Macaca fascicularis: one gene and its partners. The protein of the gene in region 1 interacts with the protein of each later gene in a pairwise test. Links are inferred from orthologs where the notes say so. Each region holds a gene or a part of one and is shown on either strand. Other genes may lie near its edges. The genes, in order: UBE2E2, charged multivesicular body protein 3, ARRDC3 and ZNRF1.

The links.
Region 2: the proteins of UBE2E2 (region 1) and charged multivesicular body protein 3 interact in a two-hybrid assay, tested with the Homo sapiens proteins (2 studies listed by BioGRID). The link is inferred for Macaca fascicularis from reciprocal best matches to the Homo sapiens genes UBE2E2 and RNF103.
Region 3: the proteins of UBE2E2 (region 1) and ARRDC3 interact in binary tests that used the Homo sapiens proteins (3 or more experiments, as listed by UniProt). The two-hybrid records come from large-scale screens. The link is inferred for Macaca fascicularis from reciprocal best matches to the Homo sapiens genes UBE2E2 and ARRDC3.
Region 4: the proteins of UBE2E2 (region 1) and ZNRF1 interact in a two-hybrid assay, tested with the Homo sapiens proteins (2 studies listed by BioGRID and IntAct). The link is inferred for Macaca fascicularis from reciprocal best matches to the Homo sapiens genes UBE2E2 and ZNRF1.

Annotation. Positions count from the first base shown.
Region 1 is NC_088376.1:25,157,707-25,161,273, forward strand, and holds part of UBE2E2 (ubiquitin-conjugating enzyme E2 E2), read right to left. Parts: intron 940-3,567; 5' UTR 932-939; coding exon 756-931; intron 1-755.
Region 2 is NC_088387.1:34,966,209-34,969,775, reverse strand, and holds part of charged multivesicular body protein 3, read right to left. Parts: intron 3,182-3,567; coding exon 3,045-3,181; intron 1,198-3,044; exon of another isoform or gene 1-1,197. UniProt on the Homo sapiens protein: Acts as an E2-dependent E3 ubiquitin-protein ligase, probably involved in the ER-associated protein degradation pathway.
Region 3 is NC_088380.1:95,368,844-95,372,410, forward strand, and holds part of ARRDC3 (arrestin domain-containing protein 3), read right to left. Parts: intron 3,564-3,567; coding exon 3,416-3,563; intron 2,406-3,415; coding exon 2,303-2,405; intron 1,567-2,302; coding exon 1,310-1,566; intron 671-1,309; coding exon 508-670; intron 267-507; exon of another isoform or gene 229-266; coding exon 74-228; intron 1-73. UniProt on the Homo sapiens protein: Adapter protein that plays a role in regulating cell-surface expression of adrenergic receptors and probably also other G protein-coupled receptors.
Region 4 is NC_088394.1:70,818,615-70,822,862, forward strand, and holds the start of ZNRF1 (E3 ubiquitin-protein ligase ZNRF1), read left to right. Parts: upstream 1-1,392; 5' UTR 1,393-2,034; coding exon 2,035-2,458; intron 2,459-4,248. UniProt on the Homo sapiens protein: E3 ubiquitin-protein ligase that plays a role in different processes including cell differentiation, receptor recycling or regulation of inflammation. Mediates the ubiquitination of AKT1 and GLUL, thereby playing a role in neuron cells differentiation.

The DNA of each region.
Region 1 (3,567 bases):
GATCGCTTTTATTTATACTTCCTATTTGGGCAATATAAAACATATGAAAACAAAGCAAGAACATAAAATCACAGGATCAGAAAAGACACTACTTTATCTTTCAAATTATTTTCCAAGAGATATTCTATAATGTAACAATATCAAAACAGATTCCCTCTAAGTCCACTGACATGCCAATCATTTTAAGAGATTGATGTACCAAAAGAAGACCATTCAAATACCTACTTTCCAGATCCATCTATTCTCCAGAGAAAGAGAAAAATCTGTATCAAGATGGATCCACTGACTAATGTAATGAAACCAAGATGCACTTGTCGCTAATGTCAGCATTTCTGACTCTACCAACTGGGAGTAGTGGAAAATAAACTATCACTCACTCAATAACCACTTCAAAAGATTCCTAATCTCTATTTTGTGTTACGGAACAGAAAAAAAATATTTATGGTCAAGTAACCATAAATGAAACCACTGCAACTTTACATGCACGCCCTGTATATGCTTCCCTAATAATACACAAACACACAAACACACTATGGAAATGTATTTTATGAATCTGCCATGCCATTTAACTGACTTTAAATACTGAAGTTCCCTATGGCTAAAACCATGTAAAAGAGATCATCTTGAAAGGGAAAGAAAAATCCACGAAGTTCATGGCTGACAATCACGGAAAAAATGATTAAATGCAAGAGAAAAACAGAACTTAAGATGATAAACTGATACCAAAAATAAAAAGGTTATAATAACTGAGATACCTTTTAGCACTAGTTGACAATTTAGCAGCGGTTTTGCTGGATATTTTTCCCTCCTTTTTCTTGGGCTGAACTTGTTCTCTTTCTGGTTCTTGCTGAACACTTTCACGTTGATCTCCATCGGAACTTCCTCCACTAGTGCTTGGACTGTCATCAACTCTTTGTGCCTCAGTGGACATTTTAGATCCTGGATTAAAGAATCAAAAATCATTTACTCAGCTGTGAGGACGACTACAGTAAGCTACCTCCAGAACACAGAGAATGAATCTCAAAGTAAAACAAGTAAATCTCAATATAAAACGGATTAAATTGGTCATTTACAAAACAATGCAGCTTTGGGACTTGCTAAAACTTTTCCTTCATCCATTCAAAATGTATTGTAAAACAAAAACATACAAAATTTATACATGAAACGTTCACAGCAACATTATTCATAATAACCAAAACTGGAAACAACTCAAATATCCACTAACGAATGAATGGATAAACAAAATGTAGTAGTATATTCACATAATGTACTGTTAGCCATAAAAAAGAATGAAATACAGTGTCTACGTGCTACAAAATGGATGAACCTTGAAACATTCTGTAAGTGAAAGAAGCCAGCCACAAAGCACCACAAGCTGACTATTTAGATAAAATGTCCAGAATAGGCAAATTCATAAACATCAAATTCAGTAGTAAATCTCACGCCTGTAAATCCCAATGTTTTGGGAAGCCCAGGCAGGACCAGCCTGGGCAACATAGCAGGACTCGATCTCTACAAAAAATAAAAATATGATTGATACCACTGCATTCCAGCCTGAGTGACAGAGAGAGACCCTGTCTCAAAACAAAATAATAATAATAATAAAATAAAATGGGTAAGTGGTTGCCAGGGAGTGAGGGGAGAGCAGTGAAGACTGACTGCTAATGGGTAGGATGCTTCCCTGTGGGGTGATAAAAATGTTCTTAAATTAGATAATGATAATGTTGCTCAATTCTAATAATAAATATTCTAAGAACTACAGAGTTGTACATTTTTAAACGGTAAATTTTATAGTCTGTGAATCACATATCAATAATGCTGTTACAAAAAATAAGAAAAAAATGACTAAGGGTCTACTCTCTACCAGGTGCTGTGCTAAACCCTTTGGTCCCACAACTGTGAAAAACCTGGACTAGCCAACTTGCTAAGTACAAAAACGAAGGTTAGTACAAATAGTTGTGGGAACAGAAAAATGGGAGGATTCTTTCAAATCCCTATTCCATCAATACATCCTCAGAGCTGGGCTAAGGTTAAAATTCTCCAAACTAGTAAATTGTTTTAAGTAACCTTTGTGATAACAGAAGAACACAGAGGCCTGCATGACTGCATGATTCTAAATAAAAATTGAACCATACGACGGCATCAGCACTGATTCAGCTATATACTAAAGCAACCATATTTCACAAGAGATGGCGAGACACTGAAGAATTTTTTTTTTCTTTTCCCCACAGTCTGGCTAAAATATCCCTCAAGGCATTCAAATTCCCTTTGCTCTGAGTTCAGGCTCCCCAAGCAGCTCTGATTACCAACTCAATTTCCTCAATAGCTTGATATTTAGGTAGCTGTTATAATCTAGACAGGAGACACAAACAATTCCAGTAAGAGAAGAGGAGTATCTCTTCTCAACTGTCATTCTACCATAATCAATTTCTGAGTTTGATGACTACGAATACATCCCTTACGAGCTGACTAGCCTACAGTGTTCTGACAAATCCAGAACTGAACCAACAAAACCCATGCCCAGACTCTAAAAGGTCTTGTGCTCACCACAGTTTTGTCACCTAATAATCACTTTGAGCACTGTATAGCTACCTTCTCAGACACCTCTTTAAAAACAAATACCTATACTTAACAAGTACCATTAACAACAAAAAAAATACCTTTAAAAATTAGAGGTACACTGAACAAACTCCTTTTGAAATGGATCCTTTTGATTATTCTTATTCAAATTACGACTTGAAATAAAACTGTTTCTGATATGATCAATAAGAATAGGTAAAGATACCTCAAATAAAGCAAAATTTTTAATTACTACAATTTAGTCCAAATGGATAGCTATTTGACACTGATGAAAATTCATCATTACTAAAGATTTAACTTGTAGTCTGCTCCAAGCCAAAGCAATGTTGTAACACCGATCTTTAATAGACTGAAATTTTTGTAAGACAAACCAAAAAGCACTGCAAAAGAATGGAGGCATCACGAAGCACAGAGCCGCAAAGAGTCAACAGAAAATAGTGAATCCTTTCACTGACACGCCACACACACCACCACCAGCACCCCTTCAACCCCAACAGCTCCTCATGCCACACAAAAACAGGTCTGCCTCAACAGCTCTGAAACATACTAATGGAAAAGCTGACTACTTTTCTACCTATTCTGTAAATGGAGAGCACCAGTCTCCACAGCTGTGACATCTTTTATGAGCACTAAAGTCACTTAATAGAATACTGAAATTTTTTATCAGTATGTTTCACATCTAGCTCTAAAAGTCATAACATATTTCTTGCTTTTTTTCATTTTTATTTTACTCTAAATTCTCATTCTTGGATTTAATTTTTTTTCACCTTACCTCTTTCAGTTAAAATATATCAGAAGTTTAAAACCTTCTAAGTATGTACATAATGGCATATCAGTTAGGGCAGCACGCATGACAGTGAAAACGAGAACAATCCTCAGGGAAAGGTGCTCAGATACAGCAAAATGCTGCCAGCGATACCTTAAGAAATGTGAAATGAGTGAGAAATCATTTTATACATTTTAAACCAGGAGCAATCTGTTCCATGA
Region 2 (3,567 bases), on another chromosome or scaffold:
AACACTCCTCATAGACTTAAAACAAATGACAGAGAACAAATTAGTCAGCTTCTTCTAAAATACAGTGGCCTCCCCTTATCCTCAGTTTCACTTTCTGCAGTCAACTGCAGTCCGAAAATGCTACATACAATTAGATATTCGGAGAGAGAGACACCACATTTACATAAATGTTATTTCAGTATATTGTTATAATTGTTCTATTTTTATCATTAGTTGTTGTTACTGTGCCTAACTTATACATTAAACTTTATCACAGGTATGTATGTATAGGAAAAAACATAGATTATATAGGATTGGTACTATCCATAGTTTCAGGCATCCACTGGGGGTCTTGGAATGTATCCCCCTCAGATAAGGAGGGACTACCGTAAACAGAAAATAACAACAATTCAAATTGTTAAAAACTGAATTCTTGAAAGTTATCCTTTACAATAGATTAATATATATGATCTGAGCTGAAAGAATGGCAAGCAATGGAGACGACATTTCTCTTCTGTTTCTAGTAGATATTTTCAATTTTAAGCATAGTTTTAAAAAAAATACAACCCTCTTTTAAGGGCTTAAACCAAGGTGGCTGTGCTGATTGGCTTAGCTGGCTAGTTCACAGTGCCACGGACAAGGTTTCAATCTCATTCTTCTCAGTTGTCCTGACAGAGATTGTTCTTTCAGACCAGGCCAGCCATTTGACAGATGTAAGCCACTGGCCTCAAGGAACACAAGCCAGACAGTGGTGGTCAGTGCAAACCTTGAGCATCATTGGAAAAATTAAGTAGGTGTCCTACTGCATCATTTCCATATACAGAAAACCATAGAAATACATCCTATTTTTTAAGAGTTGTTTTTCAGCTATTAATACCTATGAGGTTTAAAAATATTTTCAGAGAAAAAAAATTTAGCAACTAGAATTTACAATGCTACCATTTACTATCATTATTTGTTCTTCACTTCATTTGCCACCTTACCAGAGAATTCCTTGCCACTCTCCTCTCCTTAATCTGCTTATTTTTATTCTTAGTACTTTCCACTAACTGATGTTATATTAAATATTTATTTGGTGTCTGCCTCTCCCAACTAGAATGTGAGCTACCTGACAGAGCAAGGACATAGCTTGGTATGTGTTTCTGGTATATCTTTAGGGCCCAGAACAGGGCCTGGCACACCCACAACTGCTAAATAAACTTTTGATGAATTCTGTCACATATTTATTACAGGAGCTTAATTCATAAATATCTTTAACAGGACATCAAAAACAGTAGATCATTTATAAGCCAAGAATATACTGCTAACTATTGAACCAGAGTGTATTTGTTGTCTATAGGCAGCAGCCTATATAGCAAAAGAACTCAAGACTTTTGACATGGCCTTCCATGTTTCAAGGGTGCAACATCTTCACTATTTATTTCCATGGGATCAGTCAATGTGGATGACAAACATTTAGACACTGAACGCAGGGCAGTGGGACTGGCTATTCAACTCATCTTCAGTAATAAAATCTAAAATTATCAAAACCAGTGTCTTTCTCAATCAGACTATTAGAAATAAGTACCAGAGAAAGGAAATGGAATAACAATATACTTATAAATTAAAGCTTTAAAAAAGCTACAGCTTATTTTTCAACTCCAATTAACACAGAAATAAATTAAAATTTAAACAGATAATGTATGGACTACACCTATACCCTCGCATTCTCTCCCATTGCTGAACTTAAAATTACTGAATTAGATTATCTGGAAGGTAAAAGGACAAATGCAATAGGAAGGTTACAATAAAGAAAGGCTATGGATAAACAATGTCATCTCTGGAAGAATTCCCAAACCTCAACTCTTTAGCACAGAGGACTACTGTAATATTTTATCCTTTTTAGATGTATATGTATTTATTTGAGGTCACGTACAACAGAAAAACGTACCTATTCACAATCATACTGCTAGTCAGTGACAGTACCAGACCTGCAACTAAGGTCTCTGAACTCAAAGCTTTTCCTACCATATTTGCAGTCTTTACTCTCAGAAAGAAACATGAAGAAACTATTTTAATTTTCATGCCCTGAATCAAACTTTGCCTACTCCAGGGTGAAATGACAAGAGTACCGGACAAGAAATCAGAAGATCTGGGTTTCACCCTGGTTCAATATTACCAACTAGTTCCATGACCTTGGGCAAGCTAGTTCACCTCTCAGAGTCTCAGAAAAGGTTAGTCTGATACAATTTCCAAGCTTCAGCCATTCACAGACTACATTAATAATTTTAGCCACATTCATGCTGTTAATTTACTTGATATGTCACTTTAAGTGAATGTACAGTTTTAAAATGTAAATAACTTTAGTCCTTCCTAAGCAAAATTTATGAAATTTACATGTTAATATAATTTTTCTAATTTAAATGAAAATATGTAAACGATAATGCGTGCCCACTTGCCATAAATTATATCTTGGAAAGTATAAAATATTTTTAAGGTCCTTCATAGCTCTAAAATTCTAATATGCTAATTAAGTCTCACAGTTTTGCTATCATAAAAACGAGGGTTAAAAATTATAATCTCATCATCATGAGCTATGTAATAAGCACCCCCACCATTTTCCGCAACAGCTTCTCTATAGTCACAAAGTTGGCTATTTCCCTAATAAATGATTCCTTTACTTTTACTTTAGGGTTCTTACTTACATATAAAAATTATTCAGGCCACTGAATTAAAAACTGGAGATAACAAAAACTGAGAGAAACAGTGCAAATCACTAAATAAAAGGGATATATATGTGTATTTCTCAATTCAACAAAGGTCCAATAATTAAAATAGATTTGCTTCTGGGGATTCTAAACAAAAAGTTGACTCCCATCCCCCAACTTTCTCTTTCCCACTAGTCAATTTTCATTTTCCTCAGTCTCCAAAACCTTTTAAAGATACTAGAGCCTCCCTAAGAGAACTAAGTTATGTGTGAGAAACAAGACACAAGTACACGAAGTGTCACTGGCTAGTACATACTATTTGAGTAAAAATAATTTTTTAGGGTTCTCAAAATATCAAATTATCACTGCTTTTCATACCTGAACCAGCCAGATGCCATCTTTTGTGTCTTCCACAAGCTCATAGAAGTGCATTTCACCACTGAAATTGGTACTAGAAACCGATTCCGATGCTTCTTCCTTGAGAGCAGAATAGAGCTCACCCTCCATCAAGTCACCTAAAGAAAGGAAAAGAGTAACACTAATAAGGTTGCAAGAATCCTAGATTCCCAATTTCAGTAATTCCATTTTTTAGACTGTTAAGAATCATGATATTGTACTTTCATTGTATTCTATAGACAAGAGCTACTAGTAGAACCTGAATATACCCACTTAGGTGTCATACATTCAATAAGTATGTAGTAAGAACTTCCTACGTGTCAGGCAAAAGCGAACAAAATAGACAAAAATCTATCTCTTATAGAATAGGGCTTGTATTTTAGTGGGGTTATCACATAATTATTAGGAAATTACCAAATTTGTACCACTCCAAAAAGGCACCACTTTATTAATTATTTAGTTTTACGTATGACACATACAGGCTTCATATACATTTTTAAACAGT
Region 3 (3,567 bases), on another chromosome or scaffold:
TTTAAAAAAAAATGCCTGCAATGCTATTTCTCAAGACAGCCAGTTCATTGCACACTTAAGAGTAGGTACTTACTTCTGAATAAAGAGGCGGAGGCAAGAACCGAAACTCCTGGATATATGCAAACAGTGGTCCTTGAAGCGCTCTCTCAAAGTCATCACAAGCATTCACTGGTGCAAGATTGTTCCGCCTTTGTTCCTCTGTTACCACTTCTGCATAGCTGGGTGGTGCTGAAGGAAAAAGATACACGCAATTCGAACAGCATGTTCTTATGCATGTCAAAATACACAAAATAGTAGGTATTAAAAAGCAATGTCAAGGTAAAATAATAATTATTTGTTTGGTGATTAAAACTATGAAGACATATAATCAAAACTGAGTATTAGGGGCACATCTACTTTCTTTAGGGGAAGATTACATTCATCTAGGGTCATAAAATATCAGAAGCAAAATAATTTTCTTGATAATAATAGTAAGAAATTAAGCTTAGATATGTATTATCAAATTACCTTCAGGTCTTTCAGGAAGTGATAAACTGAGCCAGTTCATATTCATGCTACACTGACTGCTTACACTTGAGGTTCTGCTACCAAATGGATGTAGAGGAATGGTACCGATGACAAGTGGCAAATTAAGAAATAAATCCATAGCTCCAGGAATATCCACATATACCTAAACATTGCAAAGAAATATTACGTTTAGAATGCCAAGTATGATTTCCTTTTCAAAAACTAATAACCAATTTTAATGTTATTTGAAACCCCCATTTACTTCATTTTTTATCTTACATACATGAAAAGTTTCTCTTTTATGTATAATTCTATATAGTACATTTACATATAAGGTATAATTATAAGTCAAACTATATAAAGAGTTATGTATTTCATATGTCACTATATATGGAATTAAAAAACCTGGATGTAAGACAAAATTATGTCTCCATAACTTTAAGATTAAAAACAAAACAAAACAAAACACCAAAGACTTCTTGGGCCAGGCACTATGGCTCAGCCTCTAATTCCAACACTTTGGGAGGCCATGGTGGGTGGATCACTTGAGCCCAGGAGTTCAAGACCAACCTGGGTGACATGGTGAAACTCCATCACGACAAAAAATACAAAAATTATCCAGGCCTGGCTACAGGCACACTTGTATTCCCAGCTACTTGGGAGGCTCAGGTGGGAGGACCACTGGAGCCCAGAAAGCAGAGGCTGCAGCAGAGCTGAGACTGTGCCGTGGCACTCCAGCCTGGGTGACAGGTGTTTCAAAAAAGAAAAAAGAAAGGAAAAAACCTCTTAAATGTGTACATACCATTAGTGAATATTCCACACGGATTATACTACAGTCGAGGATAGAGGGAGAAACTGGTGGAATTTTCAGCAACTTGCCATTCCACGTCTCTGTCTTTCCAGATGATAAGGATTCCCCACGCAAGTTAGCCACAAGCTGTTTTACTTCCTTCATTTTCCCTTTGGCATAGAAGGCCTGTGTTTGGTAAATGGCTGCCTTTGGCACCACCATTCGGGAAGAGCAGTTCTCAATCTCAGCAAATATCTGAATTGATTCACCTAGAGAGGGAAAAATATATACATATCTACTGTTAGAAAAAAATAACAAAAGAAATCAAGAATCTTTTTTTTTTTTTTTTGAGAGAGTCTCGCTCTGTCGCCCGGTTAGAAAAAAATAACAAAAGAAATCAAGAATCTTTTTTTTTTTTGAGAGAGTCTCGCTCTGTCGCCCAGGCTGGAGTGCAGTGGCCAGATCTCAGCTCACTGCAAGCTCCGCCTCCCGGGTTTACGCCATTCTCCTGCCTCAGCCTCCCGAGTAGCTGGGACTACAGGCGCCCGCCACCTCGCCCGGCTAGTGTTTTTTTTTTTTTTTTTTTTTTTTTTTGGTATTTTTCAGTAGAGACGGGGTTTCACCAGGTTAGCCAGGATGGTCTCGATCTCCTGACCTCGTGATCCGCCCGTTTCGGCCTCCCAAAGTGCTGGGATTACAGGCTTGAGCCACTGCGCCTGGCCAAGAAATCAAGATTCTTAAAGCTAAAGTAAGAAAGAGCAACTAACATGCACGAAAAGGTGTCCTAGGAACTGCAAATAACTTAAGAGTCATAGAAATGAACTCATCAGTAGCTATTTGAAAAAGGAAACTACATTCTATTTTGTGAAAAAACAAATGGAAAAGCACAATTTGTAATTTCACAAAAGAATACGATATTATGTTGATATTTAATAGTTATATTATAAATTTATACACAAAAGCTAAGTGAAGAAAGTTTTTTGTGGGAATCTACCTCATACATACCTGGGGTATAGCCCTTCCTTTCAATTTTGGCACTTAAGGATATTGGGCCTGAGGTACAGAACCAGCAACAGAGTGTCTTTTCTTTTGTGCCTGCTTGGGGTGACTGTAAGAAAACAATTTAGAGAAAAAGGTCAGTGTATGGATTGGTACAATCAATACCAGAATATTTTAAAATATAATCCTAAATTTGTGGAAAAATAAAAATTAAAACTGGTTTTGCTTTTTTTTTTGGATCCAGATATACTTCTTATTTTTTAACTAATTGATGGTTTTGAATTATACCATTACTTTTATTTTTATATAAATTTCCATTCAATTAGAAAAAAAAGGTAAAGGGTGTACAGCGTTTCCCATAAACAGTTTTTTAGTTCACACTATTTACAAATACAGTAATGAAAAACCAACCAAATAAAAAAAACCCTTTCCACATTCCATTTAAACTGCCTTAAAAAGGCAGCACAGAAAGCAATCTGACTATAATTCCAAATGTTAACATCTTCCTCTGAGAATATAAAAAAAAATGTAAAAAAAGGAAAATGCCCATTTCTTATTTGCTTTAAAGATGTTATCATTTGTTTAAACCAAATACAGTTTTAAGTCAAATTTGATTTATTCTCAGACAAATGCAATTAAAAATAGATTCTTTTAAAAAAGGAGTTTTTTTAATGAAACGAATGATTCCCCATTATTTGACAACTATCCCTCTATTGGAATAACAAAGTATAGTACAAATTTTAGATTATGATGTTGTCAAGTTAAGTGATATTGTATTACAATAAAAGATACTACTGTCCTTCTTCCACTCAAATCATCCAAGGACCAGATCTGTTTGTTGTTATGGCTTTTGTTACTCATATTGTGAGTAAGAGATACTTCATATCATATACTGGTCTTAGTTTCATATTTACTTAAAGGTACTACAATGTCAAAAATGTGAGCATATTTTTCATTAATTTCAGTGTTCTTGACTGTATTTAAGAAAATGTATATTTATGGAATTTTAAAAGAAAACCAGTATTTTTAAATTATGACAACTGCATAGTTTAGGTGATTGATTATTCTTTAATATTTATATGCCAAAAACAAAGAATGAATAATTCAGTCAATTCTTACCAGTAATGAAGGAGTGTTGATATCTATATGCTCAAAGACTGTAAATTCCTTCTTTAATTTTACTGGTAGTAGCCAAGGCCTGTGCAATTCGGCTTTCACCCAATAGCGCACACTGCCATGTCGGCCTTCGAATGAGGTAGCAAGTGGTCTGT
Region 4 (4,248 bases), on another chromosome or scaffold:
GCTGGGATTACAAGCGAGTCACCATGTCCTGGCCTGATTTTCAAATTTTTAACAGACTTTTACTCAGGAGGCTGAGGCAGGAGAATTGCTTGAACCTGGAAGGCGGAGGTTGTCCAGCCTGGGCTACAGAGCAAGACTCCATCTCAAAAAAAAAAAAAAGAAAGAAAGAAAGAAAGGAAAAGAAAAACAGGCCAGGTGTGGTGGCTCACGCCTGTAATTCTAACACTTCGGGAGGCCAAGGCGGGCGGATTACCTGAGGTCAGGAGTTCAAGACCAGCCTGGCCAATATGGTGAAACCCTGTCTCTACTAAAAATACAAAAAATTAGCCGGGTGCAGTGACACGCACCTGTAATCCCAGCTACTCAGGAGGCTGAGGCAGGAGAATCGCTTGAACCTGGGAGGCGGAGGTTGCGATGAGCCGAGATTAGGCCACTCCACTCCAGCCTGGGTGACAGAGTGAGATTACGTCTCAAAAAAAAAAAAAAAAAGAAAAAAAAAGAAAGAAAAAAAAGAAAAAGAAAAACAATTGTTCGCTGAATGAATGTGAATATAGGAGAGAAAGACGGACTGAGGTATCAAAGGAACCCTCCCTTGCAAAATGATGCAGGCTTGGTCAACAATACACCTATTGAGTACCCACCGTGTCCTTGGCCGTGGTGTAGGCCGAAACACAGAACATGGTAAACAAAACAGGGCTCCAACCTTGGACAGAAGGTTTCTATAATCACTTCTAGCTACGTTGTTCTATTTCCATATCCATATCTATTCACATTTTATGGTACCTCTATTGGTTCTGAAAATTACATTTTAGCTAAGGAATCTACTCATTTGCTTAAGCCCAAAATAGGAAGTTCTGACCTAGTGTCAGCAACACTCCGGATTCACAAGTGTCCCCATGGCGCTGTTTACCCCCAAATAGCTAAACCCCGCCAAATGTTGAGATTCCGGACCTGAGGGGTGCTTGGATGGGGAACCCCCGAAAGAATGGACATCACGTCCACCAGAGGGTGCTGTGGGGGCAAATTTGTGCCAGGAGGGGAGCTCGACTGGTGACCCTCAGAGCCAGGTAGGCGTAAGGAGTAAATCTCCTTCTTCCCGGTGTTTCCTTCCCACCCCCTCGAACCATTGCTGCCCCTCCCCCATACGTGGTTCCCCCTGAATAATTTGCCATTTTCGGGGACTTAAGAAGTGTTTGCTTTTCAAAGACATCTGGTTTCTGTGGCTAACGCCCAGTGGCTCAGGCCGCCCAGGTCACAGGCCGGCCGGGGGCGGGCGGTGGGTGGGGACTGCTGGGGCGTCAGCTGCCCGGGCGCCGCAGGGGCCGCGAAAGGGTTAACCCGACGGGGGGAGGGGGAGGGGGCGCAGGCCGCGCCTGCGCTCTGCCGCCCTCCATTGTCTCCACGGCGGCCAGGAGCGCCGGCAAGCGCTGCCCGGGACCGAGCGGGGTGGCGCGGCTGGCGGGGCCGGCGGCGACTGAAGCGAGAGCGCGACACGACGCGACCGCGGCTTCCCGAGCTGCGCCTGGCCGCCCAGCGCCGCGGCCCGCCCGAGGCCTGGAGAGGTCCGGGCCGCCGTCCATGGTCGCGGCGTCCTGAGGCGGGGGACGCGCCTGGCGCCCCCGGTCCTCCTCCTCCTCCCGCGGGGCGGGCGGCCTCCTCCGGCGCCTCCCCGCGCCCGCCTGCCTCTCGCCGCCGCCTCCCTCCCTCCTTCCCTGCGGCTCCCCCGGCTTTCGGAGCCCGGGGGCGGCCTGTGGCGCGCGGAGCCCGCGCCGGACTGCGCCTCTTTGGACCTTGAGGGGAAACGTGCGTTTGGCTTGGATCGTTTGAAATTCTGAGTTTGGGATCCCCGTCCGCCCGCCTGCCTCTTCCGCCCCGCGGGTTTTTTCCTTTTTTCTTTTGCTTTTTTCTTTTCTCCCTTCGGGTCTCCTTTTTGACTCCCTCCCTCTTTATGCTCGCCCAGCCCTCCCCCCGCTGCTGAGAAGTGGGGGAGGGTCTCGGCCTCCAGGTTCCCGCCCCACCGGGGCCCGGGCGAGCATGGGGGGCAAGCAGAGCACGGCGACCCGCTCCCGGGGCCCCTTCCCGGGGGTCTCCACCGATGACAGCGCCGTGCCGCCGCCGGGAGGGGCGCCCCATTTCGGGCACTACCGGACGGGCGGCGGGGCCATGGGGCTGCGCAGCCGCTCGGTCAGCTCGGTGGCAGGCATGGGCATGGACCCCAGCACAGCAGGGGGGGTGCCCTTTGGCCTCTACACCCCCGCCTCCCGGGGCACCGGCGACTCTGAGAGGGCGCCCGGCGGCGGAGGGTCCGCGTCCGACTCCACCTATGCCCATGGCAATGGTTACCAGGAGACGGGCGGCAGTCACCATAGAGACGGGATGCTGTACCTGGGCTCCCGAGCCTCGCTGGCGGATGCTCTACCTCTGCACATCGCACCCAGGTGGTTCAGCTCGCACAGTGGTGAGTCCACGGTGGTGGAGGCCTCGGAGGGAGGGCGCGCCGGGGCGCCCCAAGCCTTCGCGCGCGTGCCAAGGTTTGGGAATATAGTGCACGACCGGGATCTGTCTGCCTTCCCTTTGGTTCCCGATGCCAAGGGATGAATGGGATACCTACCCTCTGGAAACTAGGCTTTCTGCAAGGTTGCGGAGCCTGGCGATGTAGGACTCCCGGCGTGTGTTCACTTGTGGAAGGGCAGAGCGAAGCCTACCTATTGGAGTCCCATTTATTGGCATCTCCCTCCTCAGAGAAGCGGTCTTCTCTGGCTGAGAGCAAGTCAGCCTGGGTGCTTCCATTCTGCCACTGCAGCACTGTGCCTGCCTCACCAGTAACGGAGAGATGGAGCCAGTTGGAGCAAGCAGTGTCTCCAAAACAGAGAGTATGAAAATGAAATAAAATTAGGGGCGAGTGATGCCTGGATTAGGGCTCTCACTCTTGCTGGGAGAGAGAGGTGCCCAGTTTTGCCACCCTGCTGGAGATCTGTTTGAAATGTTTAAAATGGAGCAGCCGGCAGGCGGCTGGCATAGACAGGTGTGGCTGCTGTACGGAGGGCCCAGCCGGCGAGTCTCGCGGGGGCTTTGCAGGACCAGGGCTCTGGTCACCCGTACTGCATGCAGCAGACTTGGCTCCACGACTCTCACCTCCCTCCATCTTTTTTCTTCTGCTCCATGCTAAGTGCTTGGTCTTCCCGTGAATCTGCATCTTTTTGTAACAGGGAGCCTGTCAAGGTGGGGCATTATTGCCTGACTGTTGGCACATGACTGGGGGAAAGGAGGATTCAGAGAATCTGGATGAATTCATTTTATGAACTTCTGGTGACAGGCCAGCAAAAGGTTGGAGGGGGATTTCCCAGGCTCCTACTGGGAGGGCTAAAAAGGCCTGGCAGGAGGAAAACAGGTCTGTCTGCTAGGTCAGGCTTCTAGAAAATTGGCCAAAAGGTGTGTGGGGCCGCTGTTTGCTAATTGGCAAGTTGAGTGAATAACTTACATCTTAAGTTTCTTTTGGGTGAGTTGGGAAAATTTAGATATTGTGTAGGGGAAAGATTGCTCCTGCCTTTAGGGTACTTTATGGAGGGTAATATCTCGTGGATCACTGTTTTACCTACTGTGAAATAGGGTTGACTTTTGGGGTATCGCTTTCCCCCTCCCTGCAAATATCCTGGGGTTTGTTTTCATTTGGTTCGGTTTTTTGTCAATTCTATAAACTATGTGAAATAGAGTTGGGGGACGAACTGTTAGTGACTAATTTAGGGTAACCCTTAGAAGTAGCTTGTGAATTGTTAGGATGATATTTTAATCTCTGAACAGACCTCCGGATATCATTGGAGCTTTTCTGACCTCATCGAACTCTGACCTGAATGAGATGCAAAACATGATTGCCTTTGGCTCTTTCAGGCATTTGATCAAAATTAGGCATTTTGAAATTAATAATCTTTCCTATGAAATTTAGTTCAGAGAGTTAGCCATATTTTTGAGATGACTGGTTAGGTGTTTAAAAGAACTGTAATGAGCATCTGGTTTTGAACTTAAAAGCACTATACGAAGTTTCTCTAAAATCACAGAATTTTGTGTGTTGAAAAATATGAGATATGTAGGGAGGAAGAAAGGGAGTTTTTTTTTTTTTTTTTTTTTTTTGCTGAAATTTCTTCAGTCTGTCTCTTACTAAAAATTTATTTATTATGCTACTGCCAGGTTCCATGCTAAAGTTATGAGCTTATAATTGGATTCCAGAATTTCAGTCCTAAGCTGTGAAAG